Arabidopsis thaliana: one gene and its partners. The protein of the gene in region 2 purifies or fractionates together with the protein of the main gene of each other region. This does not show direct contact. Each region holds a gene or a part of one and is shown on either strand. Other genes may lie near its edges. The genes, in order: OASA1, AT5G10540, AT1G79870 and HDH.

The links.
Region 1: the proteins of AT5G10540 (region 2) and OASA1 fractionate together in Arabidopsis thaliana (co-fractionation; one large-scale study listed by BioGRID). This does not show direct contact.
Region 3: the proteins of AT5G10540 (region 2) and AT1G79870 fractionate together in Arabidopsis thaliana (co-fractionation; one large-scale study listed by BioGRID). This does not show direct contact.
Region 4: the proteins of AT5G10540 (region 2) and HDH fractionate together in Arabidopsis thaliana (co-fractionation; one large-scale study listed by BioGRID). This does not show direct contact.

Annotation. Positions count from the first base shown.
Region 1 is NC_003075.7:8,516,968-8,522,870, forward strand, and holds OASA1 (O-acetylserine (thiol) lyase (OAS-TL)), read right to left. Parts: upstream 3,630-5,903; 5' UTR 3,365-3,629; exon of another isoform or gene 3,170-3,364; intron 3,100-3,169; exon of another isoform or gene 3,097-3,099; 5' UTR 3,084-3,096; coding exon 3,051-3,083; intron 2,964-3,050; coding exon 2,854-2,963; intron 2,767-2,853; coding exon 2,709-2,766; intron 2,629-2,708; coding exon 2,365-2,628; intron 2,274-2,364; coding exon 2,136-2,273; intron 2,039-2,135; coding exon 1,987-2,038; intron 1,858-1,986; coding exon 1,778-1,857; intron 1,671-1,777; coding exon 1,611-1,670; intron 1,524-1,610; coding exon 1,443-1,523; intron 1,335-1,442; coding exon 1,242-1,334; 3' UTR 993-1,241; downstream 1-992. Other genes in the region: OFP11 (ovate family protein 11), read left to right, coding at 1-112; SECE1 (secE/sec61-gamma protein transport protein), read left to right, coding at 281-814; FdC1 (2Fe-2S ferredoxin-like superfamily protein), read left to right, coding at 3,920-4,384; AT4G14900 (FRIGIDA-like protein), read right to left, coding at 4,792-5,307, 5,410-5,585, 5,734-5,903. UniProt on the Arabidopsis thaliana protein: Acts as a major cysteine synthase, probably involved in maintaining organic sulfur level.
Region 2 is NC_003076.8:3,322,606-3,328,281, reverse strand, and holds the start of AT5G10540 (Zincin-like metalloproteases family protein), read right to left. Parts: upstream 3,471-5,676; 5' UTR 3,305-3,470; coding exon of another isoform or gene 1,349-3,304; 5' UTR 164-1,348; coding exon 44-163; intron 1-43. Other genes in the region: AT5G10530 (Concanavalin A-like lectin protein kinase family protein), read left to right, coding at 1,349-3,304; RBK1 (ROP binding protein kinases 1), read left to right, coding at 5,633-5,645. UniProt on the Arabidopsis thaliana protein: Oligopeptidase that may be involved in the degradation of proteasome-generated peptides. Binds salicylic acid.
Region 3 is NC_003070.9:30,042,730-30,047,083, reverse strand, and holds AT1G79870 (D-isomer specific 2-hydroxyacid dehydrogenase family protein), read right to left. Parts: upstream 2,339-4,354; 5' UTR 2,291-2,338; coding exon 1,868-2,290; intron 1,752-1,867; coding exon 1,233-1,751; 3' UTR 936-1,232; downstream 1-935. Other genes in the region: La2 (RNA recognition motif (RRM)-containing protein), read left to right, coding at 45-253, 337-481, 574-628, 778-862; ROPGEF12 (RHO guanyl-nucleotide exchange factor 12), read left to right, coding at 2,992-3,382, 3,466-3,620, 3,706-3,780, 3,887-4,150, 4,250-4,354. UniProt on the Arabidopsis thaliana protein: Catalyzes the NADPH-dependent reduction of glyoxylate and hydroxypyruvate (HP) into glycolate and glycerate in the cytoplasm, thus providing a cytosolic bypass to the photorespiratory core cycle. Mostly active in the presence of NADPH and hydroxypyruvate.
Region 4 is NC_003076.8:25,564,931-25,570,967, forward strand, and holds HDH (histidinol dehydrogenase), read right to left. Parts: upstream 3,277-6,037; 5' UTR 3,175-3,276; coding exon 3,099-3,174; exon of another isoform or gene 2,950-3,098; coding exon of another isoform or gene 2,916-2,949; coding exon 2,806-2,915; intron 2,724-2,805; coding exon 2,671-2,723; intron 2,588-2,670; coding exon 2,515-2,587; intron 2,417-2,514; coding exon 2,315-2,416; intron 2,243-2,314; coding exon 2,141-2,242; intron 2,045-2,140; coding exon 1,973-2,044; intron 1,882-1,972; coding exon 1,819-1,881; intron 1,724-1,818; coding exon 1,622-1,723; intron 1,535-1,621; coding exon 1,424-1,534; intron 1,295-1,423; coding exon 1,124-1,294; intron 1,036-1,123; coding exon 670-1,035; 3' UTR 501-669; downstream 1-500. Other genes in the region: VPS20.1 (SNF7 family protein), read left to right, coding at 66-207, 303-328; AT5G63900 (Acyl-CoA N-acyltransferase with RING/FYVE/PHD-type zinc finger domain-containing protein), read left to right, coding at 3,768-5,441. UniProt on the Arabidopsis thaliana protein: Catalyzes the sequential NAD-dependent oxidations of L-histidinol to L-histidinaldehyde and then to L-histidine.

The DNA of each region.
Region 1 (5,903 bases), on a different chromosome or scaffold from region 2:
TTATCTCTATTTGAATCCGAAACATACTCACAGATTCATCGTCTCTGCTTTCGCCGATACGCTCCTCTGGTTACTTTCTCCGTCGCCGTCGCCAGAGCATTTTTTATCCTAAATTTAAATTTTTTCAAATAAATATTTGGGCTTTATAAGGCCCATAATAATTGTAGCAACTCTTACTATACTCATTGCTGTATCTGATCATTTACTTCAGTCTTCAGATATCTGAATTATCCACAAATCTAAAATTGAGAAAACTTAAAAAAGTTCCCAATTTCGAAAAATGTCACTAACCGCACAATTCTCGCCGCCGGTCACCGGAATAACCAGGAGTCTCCGGGATACAAAACCGTCACTGTCTAATCTCCGTGTATTTCCGGTTTACACTGAGATAAGAACTATGACGACGAGTAATCTGAGGAAATCGGCGTGTTTTGTGGCTAAGGCTATAGAACAGAGACGAGATACAGCTGGATCTGAATCGGAATCAGAAGCGACTCCGTCACCGGCGGAAGAGAGTGGAAGCGGAGAAGATAAGGAAGTGGAGATTAGCGCGATAGGAGCAGAGATAAAAGCAGCGATGGAGCAGAGGAAAACGGCGGAGGAAGAGAAAGGGAAGAACGAGTTTCTTAGTGGAGTTGCGGAGGAAGTGAAGGAGATTGAGTGGCCGGCGTTTCAGAAAGTTCTCGGAACTACCGGCGTCGTGCTCGGTGTTATCGCTGGCTCTAGCGTCGTCTTGCTCACTGTCAATTTCCTTTTGGCTGAACTCTCTGATCGAGTGTTCATCGGAAGAGGTGTTCAAGACTTCTTCAGCTGATCCTGTGAATTGAAAATGGTAAAATTTGTGTGTACAATTTTTAGTGATTGCAATGAGAAATCGAAACATTGTTGATTTGTGTAGATGATGATAAAGAGAATTATCGGAATCACTCCTTTTGAGCATTACCTTCTTCTTATCCTAATCTTATATTTAGCCTGAAATATTGACTTGGGTTATGTTGGTTTAGTTTTGATCATGAAACAGTATGATACTTATGAACAAAGTTACATAGCAAATTTAAACTTCATTAACAAGCAAGTGGTTCACAAAAGAAACAGAGAAAATCTAGTTTGACTTTTATTGGCACACAAGAGAAGATACAGATGGAAGCAAAGACGCAATGTAACTAAAGATGAAGAGTCTCTATAGGAGAAACTGAACATCTCTTTTATTTTGGCGTCTCTTAAGAAGAAATGGAGAATGTTCAAGCCTCGAAGGTCATGGCTTCCGCTTCTTTCCTTGTCGCATCGAAAAGTACCGTTGATAGATACCTCTCCCCGAAACTCGGGAATATCGCCTGTAAAATAATTCAGTTGATTTCGTTTACATCAGAATCAGAAAGAAATCCGGGTTATGTAATCAGAGCTTATTGGCTTTGGGGTGATGATAGAATCAAAGAGCTTACCACAAATAGCTTCCCAGCGTTTTCTGGCCTCTGTGCAAGTTTAATTGCTGCAGCAGCTGCTGCACCGGATGATATTCCCACCTACAGTATAGCTTTTGTTTTTAGAAACAGAACGAAGTTGTAATTCTGATGGAGATAGCTTTTTGTTGTGAAATGTGAAACACTTACAAGAAGACCTTCTTTAAGAGCAAGCTGCCTTGCCATGTCAATGGATTCATCACTTGAAACCTGTTGAAAGCGTTACAGGAAAATGGAGAGAGTCAAGTAAGAAATGAAGCTCTCTTGCATTCAATTGTGTTTTGCTATCAGTCGATAATATCGAAAAGCAGTCTTACCTGAACAACTTCGTCAATAAGATCAACATTCAATACACTTGGTATAAAACCAGCTCCTATCCCTTGAATCTTGTGAGGACCTTGATATTTTCAGCAAACATCATGTGTTAGGAAACTCCGAGGATAAAAAATAAGACATGAGGCAAACCGAGAAACGAGGAACATGCATGCATGGTTATCGTAATAAACGCAGGGGGAACCAAAATCACCTGGCTTCCCACCGGATAGAATAGCACTTTCAACTGGCTCCACTCCATACAGCTAACAGAAGAGGAAACAAAATGAGAAACCGTGCAAAGACACACCACTTAGTCACTTAGATAACAAAGCCAGTTGTTCGAAAAGATGGAGCTCTCACCTTGACGTTTGCGTTCTGTTCTTTAAGATACTTCCCAGCACCTGTAATGGTACCACCAGTACCAATCCCAGAAACAAAGCCATCGATTTTGCCACCAGTGCCTTTCCATATCTCAGGTCCCGTAGTCTCATAGTGGATCTGCATTTGACAGTGAAATTCCATCGACTTAATATGGTTCAAAAACAGACAAAAACAGATACACTAAAGCAATAGTAAATAATAAGCATACCTTAGGGTTGGCAGGGTTCTCAAACTGCTGAAGCATGTAACCATTGGGTGTTTTCGCCAAAATCTCTTCCGCCTTTGCGATAGCTCCTTTCATGCCCTTAGCTGGGTCAGTTAAAACCAACTCAACTCCAAAAGCTAAGAGAATGATTCTTCTCTCAGTACTCATAGAAGCTGGCATTGTAATAATAAGCTTGTAGCCTTTGGCAGCTGCCGTGAATGCTAACCCAACTCCAGTGTTTCCACTTGTTGGCTCAATCAGCACACTCTAAAGAACAAACAAAAAGTCAGAAACAATGAAAACAAAAACAAAATAGTGGTTTGAAGATTCAGATAATCGAAACTGACCTCTCCTGGTTTGATAAGACCCTTCTTTTCTGCATCAGAAATCATGCTAAAACCAATCCTGCAGAAATAAACAAAGTACAAGGTCTTCACAAAACCGAAACTCGAAGCGAGAAACAACACATAGTTTCTGGACTAGAGAAGAAACCTGTCTTTGACGCTAGAGCACGGTTCCATCATCTCAAGCTTAGCAGCAACACGACCAACACATCCTTCAGCAACATTGTTCAAATACACCAATGGAGTGTTCCCAATCAACTGCCAAATAGAATCAATCAATACATGAACATGGAACAAAGCTCACTCCTTCGTGAAATGAACAGTGAAAGAACTTGAAAGCCTTACTTCAGTCACATCTTTAGCAATTCTCGAGGCCATGATTCAAGCTTCACTGCTTAAATTCACAAAAAGAGAAAAGTAAGACCAAAGGAATAAATCATCCTCAAACCAAAAACACATCATACAAAATCATCAAACATAAATCTCCAGATGTATGAGCACCAATCCAGTTATACAACACTCTTAACACCAAATCAACAGATTTAACAGCGAAATAAGCTTAAGCCCATACAATTATCCGATCCAAACAAATATAATCGAAACCGGCAGAGGAATAAGCAAGTGAATCAAAAAGTATGGGACGAGGAAGAAGATGATACCTGAATGAGAAAGTCAATAACCTTGACCCGAATCGTTTTGAAGAAAATGGAGAAAATCGGTTGTATGGAATAAAATCTTCGAATGATGAGATATATGATCTCTTTGGTGTCAGTCACATGGCACACGCTATCAATTTAGAAAAACGCGGTGGTTGGTCACCAGAATTACTACTTCTCGGTCTGATTTGGTCATATCCGTATTAAGTCCGGTTAATATTTTCCATAACTGGGGTTTGAACATTCGGTTTCTTTTTTTCAGTTAGTCCGATTTGGAGTTTTGAGTATGGAAAAATAATACTGAATTTATTTGTTCAAACTGTTTTGGAAAAAATATTTCCCTTAATTACGAATATAATTAAAATTTTAAAATTCATTTTATTAGATCTTGGTTAATTCGGTTTAATGCATTAATGAATTTCGGTTTAAGTCGGTTTTCGGTTTTTATGTCCCACCACTATCTACAACCGATGATCAACCTTATCTCCGTATTCACCACAAACAGTCATCACTCTCACTTGACACAAAAACTCTTTTGTCTCCGTCTCTCTGTCTCTCATGGCGACTCTTCCTCTCCCGACTCAAACTTCTACAATCTCTCTCCCTAAACCTTATCTCTCCAATTCCTTCTCCTTCCCACTCCGTAACGCAACACTCTCAACAACAACAAACCGCCGGAACTTTCTCACCACCGGAAGGATCATAGCTCGGGCATATAAAGTGGTGGTAGAGCACGACGGAAAGACGACTGAATTGGAAGTCGAACCAGACGAGACGATTCTATCTAAGGCTCTTGACTCTGGCCTTGACGTTCCCTACGACTGCAATCTCGGTGTTTGTATGACTTGTCCAGCGAAACTCGTGACCGGAACGGTGGATCAAAGTGGTGGGATGCTAAGTGATGATGTGGTTGAACGTGGCTACACGCTTCTATGTGCTTCGTATCCAACTTCTGATTGTCACATTAAGATGATCCCTGAGGAAGAACTCTTGTCTCTCCAGCTCGCCACTGCCAACGACTAATCATCTTCTTGATTTAGACTAAAGAAGTCTTTTTTTTGGTGTAATACGAACACTTTGTAACGAATCTTGCTATGAGACTTCGAAATCTTGATTTCAATGAGCCAATACAAACAGTGATACATAACATAATCACAGTGAAACATTCCTGGTTTAAGATGAATCTATTAAGTACTGAACTAAATTCGTTGATTGAAACATTAGGAAAGTGAATAGATATGTATAATTTAGATTAATAAACACACAAGGGTAGACTAATTCAGAACCAGAAAGAGTGAGAGTGTTAGCTACAAATGATACGATATAAAAAAAGAGAGATTACAACAAAAACGAGGTAGAGACAAAACGTAGACACCAGAGATCAGTGGTTGGTTACTTACCATCTTCTTTTTTCCTTTGTCATTGTCTAATCAGTAGTAAGCATGCTGAATATGGTGGTGGTGGTGCGGGTGAGGATGGTAAACTGGAGGGGGTGGAGCAGCCACCGGACTGCAGTAGGTACCATATGCTGTCGGATAACTGACCGGAGAGGTTTGGTAAGAACCATGAACCGCCTCGGGTGAGTATTGGTATGGAGGGCTCCTGTTGCTGTAGATGGTAGGTGGGGATGTGGTGTATGCTGGTACACCGTATTGAGGTGAGTGACTTTGGGATCTGATGAATGTTGGTGGAGGCGGTGGGAAAGAGGAGACGTAAGCGTTTGTGATACGCCCTGCTTTGGCTGGTGGCATTGGACCGCTGTAGCTTGCTCGGGTTCTCTTGTTGGCGGGAATCACGGCTGGTTTTCTCTTCTCGGTTTTGGTCTTCTCTAGCTGATCCAACCTCTTCTTGAGATTCTCGGGTGGGAATTCTTCCTCGAGTTTGTATTCTTCTATGCATTTTAAGACTGCTCTAAGTGCTGATTGCTCTTTGCGCGCCACAAGATGCTAGAAAAATACACACATACATTGGTAAGCGAGTGCAGAAGAAACAGATCCCTGCAAATGGATCCAGCAAAGAAAACGAGTAACACAAATGGAGGAAAGTACCGCAGATCGGCCAGAATTGTTGGAATCATCAGTGATTAAAGCTGTAGCTTTCTTTGCATCCCTCAGATAAGCTTTGAGCAAAGGAACAGGAGGGAACAAGTGTACAAGACCAACTTCAAAAGTGAAATGAACCGCATCAAGCTGTTGTCCCCTGATTATCAACTCTTCAATCATATCTGTGTGAAGCCATAACAACCCAAAAACCATCATTTTCCATTTCAGATACTACTCACAGATTCCCATGACAAAAGACAACAACTTGTGCTTCCCCAATATATAGCTAAAAACATCTAATGGTAATCAAAGGTAAAGAAGAAAGATTACCAGGCATTTGGTCGCCCAAACCAACTGAAACAGCAAGCTTTGGCATCTGTTTACGCCAAGCTGAACCAACCACAAGTTTCCTATAAAGAGCTAGATCATCCTTCTTCACAATCCCAAAAGTCACAAGATGTTGCAGAAACGTATGAACATCAGGTGTTTTCACATTCTCA
Region 2 (5,676 bases):
GAAAAACAACAATGATCGGGATGATAAAGAAAGAGAAACGTACGAGCTGCTGCAACAGAGCACGAATCCCAGGTCTGACATGGTGAGCATCAACGGAGTCAAACGGAGGGAAGTCAAAATTCTGCAATAGAGGATTCGAGGAGAGAGTATCTTCAGAAGCCATTGATTGAGATTGACGAGAAAGAGAATGAGAAGCGGCGGTAGTGGAAGTGAATCTGAGGGAAGCCAGATGGGGCAATAATGTGACTTAAGGGAAACTTGAGGGACGAAAATGATAATAATAGAAACTTGCGTTTCGTTAATGCTAAAGGATAATTTTGTCAAATCATAAATTCTATCATTCTGAGTTTTTTTTGAACCGGGCTTGGAGATTTTTCAGGTAGTTCGTTGGGTTGGTTTAAGGACATGCTCACCAAGTGTTCGACGAAAATGAAGATAACTGGATAAGTCATAGAAAGTTTATTGTTTTCTGAATGGCCATGATCCAGGGTTACAAATATTTAAATAAGTTCCTACTTTTTTCTTAATGATTTCACATCGTTTTCAAAGATAATTTTGTTTTTGTATCTGGGTTTGTTCTTGCACGTAGGATAAGATCATATACAATTGTTTATCACATTCCTCTCATGATAACAGATAGACTTAGTTGACTACTTTTAAGGTTGATGCTAATTAGTTTTATCTGAGGTTGAGCTGGCTATCTTATTTTTCTAATCCTAGGTTTGGCATTGACTTGATGGAAGTATATTCGCTTATAATGGTCTCTTGATGTGTATGTTTTTAATCGATTTCTTAAAAGAACAGATCTTTTGACCTTTTTTACTGTGCATTGACATGTTCTTGAGTTTGGTTCATCTGTGTTGATGATTAATCATGTCATGTTCAAATAACTAATCGTGGTTGTGAATAAACTTGTTCTGTGGAAAATATCAGTGTTACATGGACTTTTTGATTGTGATTTCTTATTTTTGAAGTCTATAAAGTTTGACTCTGCTTGTTCACCCATTGGCTTGAGGAAAAAATAAGTCTTCTCTTTGATATACTTGAGTTCCTTTGTGATTATCATAAGCTGTCTTACAATTTAGGATGAGTATCAAACATGTCTTCCTCATTTTTCTAATCTGTTATAAGCAATCAATACAGAGATATGATCTGTTTACTCTTAGGGTCAACTATATGGTGACTTTTATGGTTGTTTATCAAAAAATTTAATTCCTGTGATAGCTTGGATCACGCTCTCAAATGATTTCATTCTTATAATCAAGGTTTAGTCATTGACTTGCTGATAAATATACATATCAGTTGCACCAATTTTGTCTCTTGAGCTAATTGTTGTTTCTGCCTGCAAATGGCCAACTCAATTCTGTTATTTTCCTTTGTTTTGGTTCTCCCTTTTGTCTGTTCAGTTCAATTTAACATATCTCGTTTTGGATCAGATGTTTCTGAAATAGCATACCAAGGAGATGCAAGAGCAAATGGGGCTGTTGAGCTTACCAACATTGACTACACATGCCGTGCCGGTTGGGCTACTTATGGTAAGCAGGTTCCTTTATGGAATCCAGGTACCAGTAAGCCTTCGGATTTTAGTACGCGTTTCTCCTTCAGAATTGATACCCGTAATGTTGGGTATGGTAATTACGGTCATGGGTTTGCTTTCTTTCTAGCTCCAGCGAGAATCCAATTGCCTCCCAACTCAGCTGGTGGTTTCTTGGGTCTATTCAATGGAACCAATAATCAGTCTTCTGCTTTCCCACTTGTTTATGTCGAGTTCGACACATTTACTAATCCAGAATGGGATCCTCTCGATGTCAAATCCCATGTAGGAATCAACAACAACTCTCTTGTTTCTTCTAACTACACTTCTTGGAATGCAACGTCACACAACCAAGATATAGGCCGTGTCCTGATATTCTATGATTCCGCTAGAAGAAACTTGAGTGTCTCTTGGACTTACGACTTAACATCTGATCCTCTGGAGAATTCAAGCCTATCTTACATCATTGATCTCTCAAAGGTACTGCCATCAGAAGTTACAATTGGGTTTTCTGCGACATCTGGAGGGGTCACCGAGGGAAATAGACTTCTGTCATGGGAGTTCAGTTCAAGCCTGGAGCTAATAGATATAAAGAAAAGTCAGAATGACAAGAAGGGGATGATAATTGGTATTTCAGTTTCTGGGTTCGTTTTGCTGACCTTTTTTATTACCTCGCTCATCGTCTTCTTGAAACGGAAGCAGCAGAAGAAGAAAGCAGAGGAGACAGAAAACTTAACATCGATAAATGAAGATCTCGAAAGAGGAGCAGGACCAAGAAAGTTTACTTATAAAGATCTTGCATCAGCTGCAAACAATTTCGCAGATGATAGGAAGCTAGGGGAAGGAGGGTTTGGAGCGGTTTATAGAGGGTACTTAAACAGCTTAGATATGATGGTTGCGATAAAGAAGTTTGCGGGTGGGTCTAAGCAGGGAAAAAGAGAGTTCGTAACCGAAGTAAAGATAATCAGCAGTTTGAGACATCGAAACCTTGTGCAACTCATTGGTTGGTGCCATGAGAAAGATGAGTTTCTAATGATATACGAGTTCATGCCAAATGGTAGCCTTGACGCCCATCTATTTGGTAAAAAGCCGCATCTCGCTTGGCATGTGAGATGCAAAATAACTCTCGGTCTCGCCTCTGCACTGCTTTATCTTCACGAGGAGTGGGAGCAGTGTGTTGTACACAGAGACATCAAGGCGAGTAATGTGATGCTCGACTCCAATTTCAATGCCAAGCTTGGTGATTTCGGGTTGGCTAGATTGATGGACCACGAGCTAGGTCCACAGACTACAGGGTTAGCAGGAACATTTGGTTACATGGCTCCTGAATACATAAGCACCGGAAGGGCGAGCAAAGAATCTGATGTGTATAGCTTTGGAGTGGTTACATTAGAGATTGTTACAGGAAGAAAATCTGTGGATCGAAGACAAGGAAGAGTAGAGCCTGTAACAAACCTTGTAGAGAAAATGTGGGACCTTTATGGAAAAGGAGAAGTTATTACAGCTATCGACGAGAAACTCAGGATCGGTGGTTTCGATGAGAAACAAGCAGAATGTCTCATGATTGTAGGATTATGGTGTGCTCATCCTGATGTAAACACGAGGCCTTCAATAAAACAAGCAATCCAAGTCTTGAATCTTGAAGCACCAGTGCCTCATCTTCCGACCAAAATGCCTGTCGCAACATATCATGTATCCTCTTCGAATACTACATCGGTAAGCTCTGGTGGAGCTACGGTAACGTTTTCAAGTGCTCAACATGGTCGTTGAGCAGATCCCTTGTTGCTGTGTGTAATATAGCCTTTTTCTTACTCTTGTTTCTTGTGTGTGCGTGTGTGTGTTTCACTGTTTGTACTCGGTCCTTGTGCTAAAAAATGACAAGGTCTTATTTTCAGTTTTTCTGGTGTCTCGACTCTTTTGGGCTGGGCTAATGGGCTTATAAAACTTTTTTTGATAAAAGGATACAAAATAAACGCGTCAGGTAGGGGTCGAACCTACGACCTTCTGCTTAGGAAACAGACGCTCTATCCACTGAGCTACAGACGCTTCTTTGGGAGTTAGAATCATAATATTAATAATGAAGAATAAATGTCAATAGCATTGAGCCATTGAGAAAATCGGTTGAACTGACTTCTCTAACTGAAAATTCACATTGGTGAGTTTGGTGGCGATTTAATTTTTGGGCGTATATTATTTTTTAGAAAATTAAGATAGAAATTAATGGTTGTGGTAGTATATATTAACGGGTTTAGTTCACCAACTAACACAATTAATCTTCCCTACTTACACTGCGATCGTTTGTTTTTATCTAGTTCTAAATTACTAGAACTAGTTTACTTCAGACAACAAACTTTATAAGTAGAAAACCGAGTCATTGTAGATTATTATATTTGTAATTTACTTAATGATGTTACCATGAAAACTATAAGTAGTATATATAAGAATTTTCTTTTGCGTATGGACTATATACGTCTGAGAAACAAAACCTAACTGTTACTAATGGAGTTTCAATGTAATGAATTGAGTTTGGACTTTGGCGTTTTGAGATAGACAAGTACTAAACATTTCACTTGGGTTTGTCTCACGGAAAGGTGGTTGATTTTAATGCCTTCGGGTGATAACTCTTTTTTTTTTCTCCACGCCTTAGGTGATGGTAAACTCATAAAGTCATTTTAATCCTCGAAAATTAAGGATCTATCCACGCCTCATATTATAAAGTAAGATTTGTGTTTATTATGGCATCCCATATGGCCATTGGTGCAAGTTTGAGGTGGGTCCAAATTGTCACGCATGAAAAATTGACAATGGTTACGTTGAGAAAGAAAACTACTAAAATAGTAGTATAGTTTATTCGTAAACCAAAACAATTGTAGCCATCATTACGAATGGATAGCTCTTGTTATTAACTTTCAAATAACAGGGATTATGTAGTAGAAACTTGTTTTTTTGTATTAGTATTATGGCTCGAAAGTGATAGTATTTGTGAATACAAATATTCTAGTAATAGTTGAATATTAAAAAATCATATCAATGATACGATGGCTTAATTTTGTAGTCAAATTTGTCTGCCATATGTTTCCTCTCTTTATGCCGCCACGAAAAAATTGAAAATATAAAGAAGAAGAAACAGACAGCACACTCACAATTTGTCGAATTTTTAACTAATGATTTTGTCAACTTCTATAAGTGCAAATCCATATTTTTTATTCCTTGGTTATAGAATTTTATTTAACTTTTACTAATTTTCGTTGTTTTAATAATTTTAAATCATACTAGCAAAAAATGTCATCCAAAATTAACTAAAACCTAATGTTCCGACACTTTCAATCTCATTCTACATGTAAACAAAAAGCTCAAAAATGTAAGAAAAAAATAACAAGGTTTGCTAAATTAGAAGAGCTATTTAATATCACATGCGCTATTTAATTTTCTTTTTTAATCACGAATCACGAATTAGCTATTTTGCGGAGAATAGAATTTGAGTGAAATATAATCATAACAAAATCCCTTTAATATTAACTCTCAATTCATTACAAGCAAAGGTGATGTCTTATTTTATATGACGAAAATGCCCACAAACCAGCCAGATATATCAACCGTTTGAGTTCTTTACATCGTAAATGCGTTAGTTACGGCAACAATCTCTAATCCTTTCATCTTCCTCAAAATTATTAAAATCATAGGACTACTAATTTAGAAACAAGAAATTACAAAAAACAAAACAAGAAAAACAAAACTTGACTTGACTTGCAGTTGAAAGTAAAAAATAAAAACAAAAGTTGAATTGCTACGGTGGAGTTGTATAAATATAGCAGAGATTCCAATCCATCTCCACTCAGCAAAAGCTGACTCTTCTTCTAACTTTCTATTTCTTCCAAGAATAACAAACTTTTTTCTCATAAGAAACAAAACAAGAATTCTACAAAACTTCTCATTAAACCTCTGTTTTCTTGTTTCTCTTCTGCTCTGTATTTTCGATAATTCTCTCTGTTTTGTATCCTTTCTTATTTTCTGTGAATCTGTTTTTTTATGGAAATTTAATTCAAAGGCTTATTAGAGGAAGAAAGAAAGAAAAAGAAAAAAAAACCCACTGGAGCTATGGCTGTTGAAGGTAAACCTAAACATAAAATTTGTTTGCTTTT
Region 3 (4,354 bases), on a different chromosome or scaffold from region 2:
GAAAAAGTATGAACTGCTCTTTAAGCAACTTCTCTGGGTTGCAGAAAAACCCAGCGCTCTGAAAAATAAAATTAAAGAGAAGGAAGATAAGGAGACAGGCATTGCTGATAGAGAGAAGGAAAATGGAGATAACTCATGTGCTAGCTTGTGCAAGGACAACACTGATCAACTTGTGGTTCCCCCATGGAACAACAGTAATTCTGTCAGCTCTGAGGTTCTCAAGGATCTTTTTCAAAGATTTGGCAGCGTTGAAGTAAGTTGCAACACTTTTTGTCAAACCACCAATCCCTTAAAAAGTGATTGTTGAGTTATCATCTTTTCCTGTGCTTACTGCAGCACATAGAATACTCTGGTGGATTGGATTCGGGTTACGTTTGGTTCACAGATTCAGAAACAGCAATGAAAGCCCGTGCAGCTGTGGAGTTTGTTGGAGGTTTAGTTGTGAAGAATAACTTCTCAGTAGCCTTAGAAGCAATTAATGGTAAGGTGGCAATTCCATGGTGTTAGTTATACCAAAGAAATGGAGTTAATCATAGAAACGTTGAAAATGACTAGTGTACTAATGGCCTTCAGGGGAGATGGAGAGAGAGTTGTGGAAAAGACTATCATCAGCTGAGCTGGAAGGAGGGTATGACATCAAACCAAACCTTGTTTATTCTTCATTGTAGGGAACATACTTGGGATTTGGCTTGTACCACCACTCATTTGTTCTCCTTGCTGGTACTTCATTGGTTGTTTACCAACCTAACTCCAAGATTCTTTGTTAATGTGCATCAGGAAAGAAGGTCACAAAAAGGAAAAAGGCAAAGATGAGTGTTTTGAAAACGTGCAACCTACCAAGAAGGCCCGAAAGGAGCCCTAATTAAAGTTTTGGGTTTTGTTTTATGTCATCCTCTTCTCTACGTTTTTTTAGGTTCAGCTGATTCTCAACAAAATAGATATTGCTTCACTTGACTGACATCTATGAGTAGTTTTGTAAACGTTTTTTGGTCTGGGATGGTTAATGACTTGACGTATTGCCGTATGCGCCACTCGTATACTAGACCAATACTTTGTGAAAAGAAAGATGAGTAAGAGACATAAAACGGAGAGGATTCGCCTAGTGTTCAAATCCGTTCCTTATATACGACAGTGCAACTTTCTTTTGGAAGAGAAATTACCCTTTTCATGAGTTCGTTAACATAAAAACCTTTCAAATGAAGTGAAACCAAATCCCAAATGTGTCACATGACTCAGACGACCGGAGTCAGAAGTGATTTCCCAGAAAAGTGCGCTTCCAAGTTACCCACGACAAGATCGGCCATGGCATTCCGTGTTTCCACAGTGCCACTCCCAACGTGAGGGAGGAGAACTACATTCTCAAGGCCAAAGAGCTCCTCGGGCACGTGAGGCTCCTGCTCAAACACATCAAGGGCAGCCCCACCTAGGCGGCCTTCTGTTAGAGCTTTAATAAGCTCTTGCTCATCAACATGTGGTCCACGGCCAATGTTTATGAGGACGCCCTTAGCTCCTAATGCATCCATGACCTGCCGGTCCACAATGTGTCTGGTCTGCTCGGTCAACGGGCATGCGACGACGAGGATGTCTGAGTTTTGAGCAAGGTCAACCACCGTCGGATAATACTTGTAGGCGACATCAGGCTTAATGGTTCTTGAGTAGTAATTGATTGGGCAGCTAAAGGCTTCAGCCCTCTTTGCGATGGCAGTCCCAATTCTACCTAGACCAATGATCCCCACGGATTTTCCACTAAACTGAGTCAACCAAAAGAAAGAAAGAATGTGACGCTAAAGCAGAGATAGAAGACCAAAGATAAGATAGGGCAGAGAGCTCTTTTCCAATCAATCAATAGTGGGTAAGAAGTAGAAACCTTGGTAGTGAGTTGGAATTCACCTTGCTTCCATTTTCCGCTCCTTACATAGCGATCGCACTCACACAGCCGTCGAAGGAGAGCCAGGATAAGCCCGATGGCGAGATCTGCGACGTCTTCGGTGAGAACGTCGGGGGTGTTGGTGACGCGGATCCCTTTTTCTTTGCATTTCCCCAAATCGATCTTGTCGAGCCCGACGCTGAAGCTGGATACAATCTCAAGGTTGGGCAGATCGCTGATGAGCTGAGCATCGGCGCCGGCAGAAGCATTCCCAACGACGGCGCGGATGGAGTTCCGATGAGTTTCTAGGAGGACGGATTTCTCCGGAGAAGTCCAGAAGCGAAGAAGGTTGAAGCGCTTCTCAAGCTCGTTCTCGAGGTAGGAGGACATGGGGCACATCATAAGGACTCCGATTGATTCCATATCTCCTTTTCTCTGTTTTTTTTTTTTATTTTTCTTCTGCAAATGATTGAGTCAGTGAGAGGTCTGTGTATAATTTATCGGAGGTTGACGATAAAGATGGGCCTATTTTTGGGCCCATAATTGATATTATCCGCTTTTTATGGGCCACTAAATGACCCTTTTCAAGTTTTCCTCTTGGTTCCGAAATCATGACTTATGTTTAAAGACAACATTGCACGTTTGATGATATTCATGCAAATTGTTGTAGGATTCATGAACATGATACAAACACAAGAAGACATACACTGTATGTGTATGGAAACGTAGCAGATTCCCCGTTGACATTGCATGTTTAGGGAATCCAGTGACAAGGGTGTAATCACATTTTAGTATGTTACTATATGATAACATTTTATAATTTAAACGGCTCTCTATCTCTAATTATCAATGTTCAAAATCCTAAATAATGATTAGTTAAAATTAAGAGGTGTGGTCTGAAACATGCGCCCCACGTCCCATCTTCCAAAAAAAGGAAGCAAAAGAAGAAAGCTCCACAATTTTCTCAAAGCCAAAATCACTGTAACAATTACCCTTTATTGTTTTGCGGCTCGATTAGCTTCTCCTTCCCTTTTGATTCTCCCCATCTCAAGAGAGGCCCATTTGATCCTCTCTCTTTCTCTCTCTCTCCTCTCTAATTCTCTATTGCCATCAAGAGACCAGGAATGGTTCGTGCTTCGGAACAAGAACAGGAAACCTATAGGAGCAGGCTCTTCAATTTCAAATGGAGGAACAACGACAACAATAGTGCTACGAGACACAACAAGAGTCTCAGCGTCGAGACCGGTTTAGATGAGGCTGCCACCGGATCCCATGACGCTGAACCATTGACCATTATTCATCCTAGTCAGGGTCCACCACTTTCAAGATCGGCTGCGGATGAAGCAGTCCTCGCCGCCCTCGCCGCCTCACAGGCTAGAGAAAGGCAGCTTTTGGCAGACATGGAGCAGATGAAAGAGCGCTTCTCCAAGCTGTTGCTGGGAGAGGACAATTCCGGTGGAGGCAAAGGAGTATCCTCTGCTCTCGCCCTTTCAAACGCAATCACAAACCTTGCAGGTTGCTTTAGGACCCTCTTTTGTTATTACACTTAGTTTATATTAACCAGCAACCAATATCTCATGTTTATCTTGTTGGTATAGCTTCCGTGTTCGGAGAGCAACGGCGCTTGGAGCCAATGCCTGCAGAAAGAAGAGCAAGATGGAGAAAAGAGATTGATTGGCTTCTCTCCGTGACCGATTACGTGGTTGAGTTTGCTCCATCTCAGCAGAAAAATAAAGATGGGACCAATATGGAGGTTGTCTATCTGCTGCTGCTGCTGCATTATATTTCATTTGGTAACATACAATGATTCCCTTATTCTGTTGGTATTGATTTAACAGATAATGACCACACGCCAACGTACTGACCTCCACATGAATATCCCCGCATTGAAGAAACTGGACGCCATGCTCATCGTAAGACCTCTCTCTCTCTCTCTCTCGTTGACCAAATATCAACCCTACTTTAATAATTTCATTTAGGATATTCAAAAGCATCCTCTTATCCCCCTTTTCTACCTAGGATTGTCTAGAAAATTTCAAGGACCAAAGCGAGTTCAGCTATATCTCAAAAGACTCCCCTGACTTAGACGGTAAGAGAAACGACGAAAAATGGTGGATTCCGACCGTCAAAGTTCCACCAGATGGTCTATCAGAAGCTTCAAGAAGGTTTTTGCAGTACCAGAAAGATTGTGTAAACCAGGTTCTAAAGGCAGCCATGGCCATAAACGCACAGGTTTTGTTCGAGATGGAGATACCTGAGAGCTACATCGACTCTCTCCCAAAGGTAAAAAAAAAAAAAGACACCAACAATTGATGTTATTGATTAGAAGAGTTGATGAAGAATAATACTCACTTGTTTAGTTTGTAATAAATAAATAAACAGAACGGGAGGGCGAGTCTCGGGGATCAGATGTACAAGAATATAACGGTGGACTTCTTTGACCCGGACCAGTTCCTGAGCAGCATGGACATGTCGTCGGAGCACAAG
Region 4 (6,037 bases), about 22 Mb from region 2:
TAAATTTGTGTATTATTATCTTTACTAGATAAAGAGACTAATGTTGATGTGTGTTTTGCTTAAAGCTTATTGTTGATGAGATGCCTGAAGTGCCTACAAAGGAGTCTGAAGAATCTGAGAAGCTGGATCTTCCGGATGTGCCAACAAAAACTCCTGTCGCTTCCAATGCGGAAATCACACCAGCTGAGTCCGCCACAAAAACAAAAGGTTTTTCCTTTCGTCTTCTTCTTCTTTTCCTTGTTAGAATTGCAAGAACTAAACTCAAGACATGTTTTATTTGGTCTGTTACTTTCGTGTTGCAGTTCTCGAAGAACCTTTGCCGGCTTGAGCTAGAAGAAACTGATCAGCAATACGATTTTATCATTCTTTTACCAGTTTTTTCTTTGGTGCTCTCTGAAGTTTTCTGTATAATCTTTGAAGTCGCTGTCATTTGTAAAGAACAAGATATATTTGGAATCCCATTGTGTTTCGGGAAAGTTAGCACAATTAACTTACTCTTTGGTTCAAACATACGGAAGGATTTAGATTTAAAGAATGAAAAACAAGATTATGGTAAGAGTTTTCCAACATCTCTTATTTTATTGTTATTCCATCTCAGGAAACCAAATATGTTCATACAATACAAAAAGAATTTTTGCCTCTTTTGTCTGAATATAAATCTCAATTGGATTATGCAAGCTGTTTGGCTTCGATATCCTTGAGTCTGAGAGTAACGGCTCTCTTGTGTGCATCTAAACCTTCGATTTCAGCCATAGTTGCTACATAAGGGCCGAGGTTTCTCAGACCTTCCTCTGTCAAAGATTGTACAGTCATGAACTTTAGGAAAGAGTCGAGAGAGACGCCACTGTACATTCTTGCATATCCATATGTTGGAAGAACGTGGTTTGTCCCGCTCGCATAATCCCCAACACTCTCTGGAGTCCATGGTCCTATGAAAACCGAGCCTGCGTTCTCAATCAGTCCCTCCCATTTCTCAGCGTCTTTGACATTGATGATCAAATGTTCGGGTGCATATAGATTTGAGAAAGATATTGCCTGGAGAATTAAAGAACAAACAGTGATGATGTTACAGATGTTGTTTTGAGATAGTAACAGTAAAGGTGAACCGTAAAGAGATGGGTACCTCAATCATATCTCGAGCAAACACTGTGAAACTGTGACTTAGTGCTTTTGAAGCAAACTCTCCTCTAGGAAGGCTTTTGCACTGCTTGGCAATTTCTTCTTCGATGGCGTTGAGATCTACACTATCGCCCACAACTACAAGAACAACTTGACTATCTGGACCATGCTCCGCCTGCAGAGAAACCAAAAAAAGAAATGTACAAGTTAGCCGCTCTCTGTAGGTCTGAATTAAACAAATAAGGCAGACACAAACTCATCCCGATATGTTATGTTGAAAATTGCAACTTTTTCATGGAAATACCTGAGAAAGTAAGTCTGCTGCAATGTAAACTGGACTAGCATGTTCGTCAGCAATAACTAGGACTTCTGAAGGACCAGCAGGCATATCGATTGAGACCATTGCCTCGCTGTTCTGCAGTAAGGGAAAAAGCAGGTTAAAGAGTAGTCTAGAGACTCCAAACAAGTTAGGACAAAAGTAATTGATGAACGATATCTATACTTGAAGAATCATCTTAGCAGCTGTGACATACTGGTTCCCAGGACCAAAAATCTTCTCAACCTTTGGACAAGAATCTGTCCCCCAGGCCATGGCAGCTATAGCCTGCAAAACAAAATCGAAATGTCTACAATCTTAGAGAGAAAAAATACAATCACCAGCATGAAAACATAAGCGAAAAAAAACTAACACAGACACACCTGCGCTCCACCAGCTTTGAGTATGTGAGTAACACCAGCCCTCTTGGCGCAATACAGAACCTCCTGAAACAAGATTAAAACATAAGCTCAGCAGTAAGATAAATGTAAGTACTATCGGATATTCCCAGGGAAAAAAGACAGCTCGGAGTACTACCTTACAAATGCTTCCATCCTTACTTGGTGGAGTTGCAAGAACAACTGTTTTACATCCAGCAATTTGAGCAGGCTGAGAGAGAAGTATAGGGTAAGGAAAAAGAAGACAAGATTATTACAAAATTACAAGAGAAATGAACAAGCAAAAGTATAAAACATGAGAACTTACAATAGCAAGCATCAAAGCCGTTGATGGCAAAACAGCTGTTCCACCAGGCACATAAAGACCTACAGAGCCAATAGATCTTGACACCCTTTTACATCTGACACCCTAACAAAGTTCACGACTAAAGATTAGTGTGAAGAAGACTTAAGAACGTAATGTGTAACTAAATTGACTTACTTTCATATTCTCAACGCTTTTCTCAGTTGACTTTTGGGCTAAGTGAAACGCATATATGTTGTCATACGCAACATCAAACGCTTCTTTGACATTGGAATCGAGCTGAATACAAAAGGCATTGACACAGAGAAAGGAAATTAATTTAACATACAAATGAAAAAGAATTCAAAACATTTATATACAAAAGTTAAATCAACTACCTCAGGAACAGAAAGCTCAGACATATCTTCCACAACTTTATTCAGCTGGACTTTGTCAAATCTTTCAGTGTATCTGAAACAAAATATAATCCTCATTTCCATCTCTTCTAGGGAATAAGAGTAGTGAAAATGAAAGACAGAGAATAAGTCACTTACTCTTTGACAGCATTATCCCCATTGCTACGAACAGCATCGATAATCGGGTTCACCTGATAGTAAAATATGACCGAGCTTAATAAGAGAAGTGGGAAAATGGTCAACGAAGAAGAAGAAGAAGAGTTTGAAAGTTACAGTGGCGAAAATAGAAGAGAAGTCAATGCGAGGGCGTGACTTCAAACTATCAACTTGGGAAGAACTAAGTTCAGATAATCTATAAGACTTCATAGAGCAACAAACGTATCCTGTAAAACGCAATTGGTCAACAAATTCGTTCATCTATCTCACAACTTGCTTAATTAAACCAAAAATTGAATCTTTTCATTGAATTTCAAGTCAATTAGCTAAGATTAACTGAAATTTGAAAAATCCACATCAATTCTCAGGCGATAAAGAACAAAACAGAGAGTGAAAGAAAAGAGAGTGACCTTTCCGAGGAGCGTGAGTTGAAATCGAGATACGTGGGGACGAGAGAAGCGAAAGACGAGACAGATTGAGGGACATCTAGTTTCGATTCACCGGATTCCTCAAATCAGGACAGTGTTCGTTCGTTTGAGTTTGAGTGTCGCCGGCGACAGAGTCTAAAGTCGGCGATTGTTTTGTCTTAACGATAATAAAGGCCTTAAAACGTACAAGGTTTACAAAACCAATTAAGGCCCGTAAAGCCCATTCATCTGCACCGCTAAAAAAATAATTGGGCCTTTACTGAAGCATATTCTAATTTTCTTATATATTAATATTTTCGCCATATTTAACACTACTAACAAGAAATTATGGGCCTAATTCTATATTTTTCCACAAGAATGGGCCTTTCTGTATAAAGATTTTTCGAAAACGTTTATGAGCCAAAGGCCCACGTACTTCTTAATGTATAGGAATTAACATTCTAATCAAATTTCTATTTTTCCAGATACTTTCGCATCACGTTTTCCATTTTTTTAATTTAATATTTGGAAAAAATATTCAACAGATTTAAAACTGATAAAATCTTTATAAGATTTGTTCCCTTTGTTTAAGGGAAAATTTCCTTATTTTTCTCGAACCTTATATGTGCCTAAAACCCTAGTCGATAAGCGAGAGTCGTGTTTCCTTGAAGAATGAATTCGTGTGATATTGTTCCGATGGAAGCAGAGCTAAGTCCAGGAGCCATCGAAGAGTGGCTTTCGACGGTAAAGCATGGAAAGATGACGGAGAACGGAAAACGACGATCGGATTTGTCCATCAAGGTGAAGAGACATCTCTCGGCTCTTGGTTGGGTAATCTCTTACTATAACAAAAGGAACAAGAAAGAGCAGCGTTATAAGTCTCCCAAGGGAAAGTGGTTCTACTCTTTAGCTAAGGCTTGTATGAGTTGTGTCGACCAAGACTCTCAACAGCAACTACAAATTGTTCCCAAATATGACTTGTCTTGCCTTCCAAGCAATATTGCCTCAGAGTCTAGTTCTGATGTTTCGAATCAAAAACAGAAGAAAAGTAAGAAAAGGGGTAGGGTCGAGGATTTGGATGTCAAAAGCACAGCTCCGGAAAAAGATAATCATCCGTCTGCTGATTTGATCAAAATCGTTCCAAATTTTGATGTAGCAAAACAACAACAACAGAAGAAGATAATAATGAATAGAGAGGGTTCTGATACGGCTGTGTTTAATGGGGACCAAGAGAAGATCAGAATCGGTCTCAATGTTGATGTAATACATGAGCAACAGAAGAAGAGAAGGAAGATGGCGAGTGAAGAGATAAGGAGGCCGAAGATGGTGAAATCTCTGAAGAAGGTATTACAAGTGATGGAAAAGAAGCAGCAGAAGAACAAGCATGAAAAAGAGTCTCTAAGATTCTGTAGAAAAGATTGTAGTCCGGACATGAACTGTGATGTGTGTTGTGTTTGTCACTGGGGTGGAGATTTGCTTCTTTGTGATGGTTGTCCTTCAGCGTTTCACCATGCTTGCCTCGGTTTGTCTAGTCTTCCCGAGGAAGACCTCTGGTTCTGTCCTTGTTGCTGCTGCGATATCTGTGGATCAATGGAATCACCCGCGAACAGCAAGTTGATGGCTTGTGAGCAGTGCCAGAGAAGGTTCCATCTCACGTGTTTGAAAGAAGACTCTTGCATTGTTTCGAGTAGAGGCTGGTTCTGTAGTAGTCAATGCAACAGAGTCTTTTCCGCGCTTGAGAATCTCCTAGGAAGTAAAATTGCAGTAGGCAACGACGGTGATTTGGTCTGGACATTGATGAGAGCTCCGAACGAAGGTGAACACTATGATGATGAACAAATCTCCAAGCTAGAATCTGCTGTCGAGATACTTCACCAAGGGTTTGAGCCTACCAATGATGTTTTCTCTGGGAGAGACCTTGTTGAGGAACTGATATACAGGAAAGACAGAACTGGAGTGGGCCGCGGGTTTTACACAGTCTTGATCGAGAGAAAGAACGAGCCTATCACGGTGGCAGCAGTGAGAGTTGACAAAGATGTAGTCGAGATCCCTTTGGTGGCGACATTGTCTAGTTACAGAAGAAGTGGGATGTGCAGAGTGCTGATGGATGAGTTGGAGAAGCAAATGTCTCAGATGGGAGTTTGTAGACTGGTCTTACCGGCTGCAAAAGAGGTTGTGACCACTTGGACTGAGCGGTTTGGGTTCTCTGTAATGAACAGTTCGGAGCGGCTGGAGCTTGTGAAACATGGAATGCTTGATTTTGTTGGTACCATCATGTGCCATAAGTTTCTTCAGAAGGAAAGAGCAGAAAATGATTCTGCAGAAGAGTCAAGTCTCACAGAATAACAAGTCTCCTGGTTTTTGTCATGTAATATTGATTGATCTTAAATATTGGGGAGAAAATGTGTAGTAAACAACTCTTGATGTCCATATATAATTGGTACATCTTTGTTTGTCTTTAAATGGGTGAGTCTGCTTTAATTGAATGTGAGTTATATCAAATCAAATAATTGGATTCATTTTCTCTACTGTTTATAGGATTTGTATATGAAATCTTTAGAGAAACCAAGACAATGCACTAACTCGATGATGCTGAAACTCTACTCACACTTGCTCAATCTGAGGTATCAATTTCCTTTCTATCTGTCACTGTCAGACACTAAAAACACAAAGACCCACCATTGAACTAAAAAACATTGCCATAAATCAGACATGCATAAATGAATCTTAGGCTCATGCCGCAGAAACTAAAGCTATCAGCTCATTTGATTCTAACATCGCTCTAAACAACTTATTTATTGGATACAGTGAATAGTAAGTCCAGAGCTCACAGTAAAACAGAGAGATGATCTTAACATTGTACTCTGTTATTTCTTTTTTGTTTTACAAAAGTCAAAAGATAATCAGATGAATAAGGAAGAAAATAAGCTTCAATTCACATA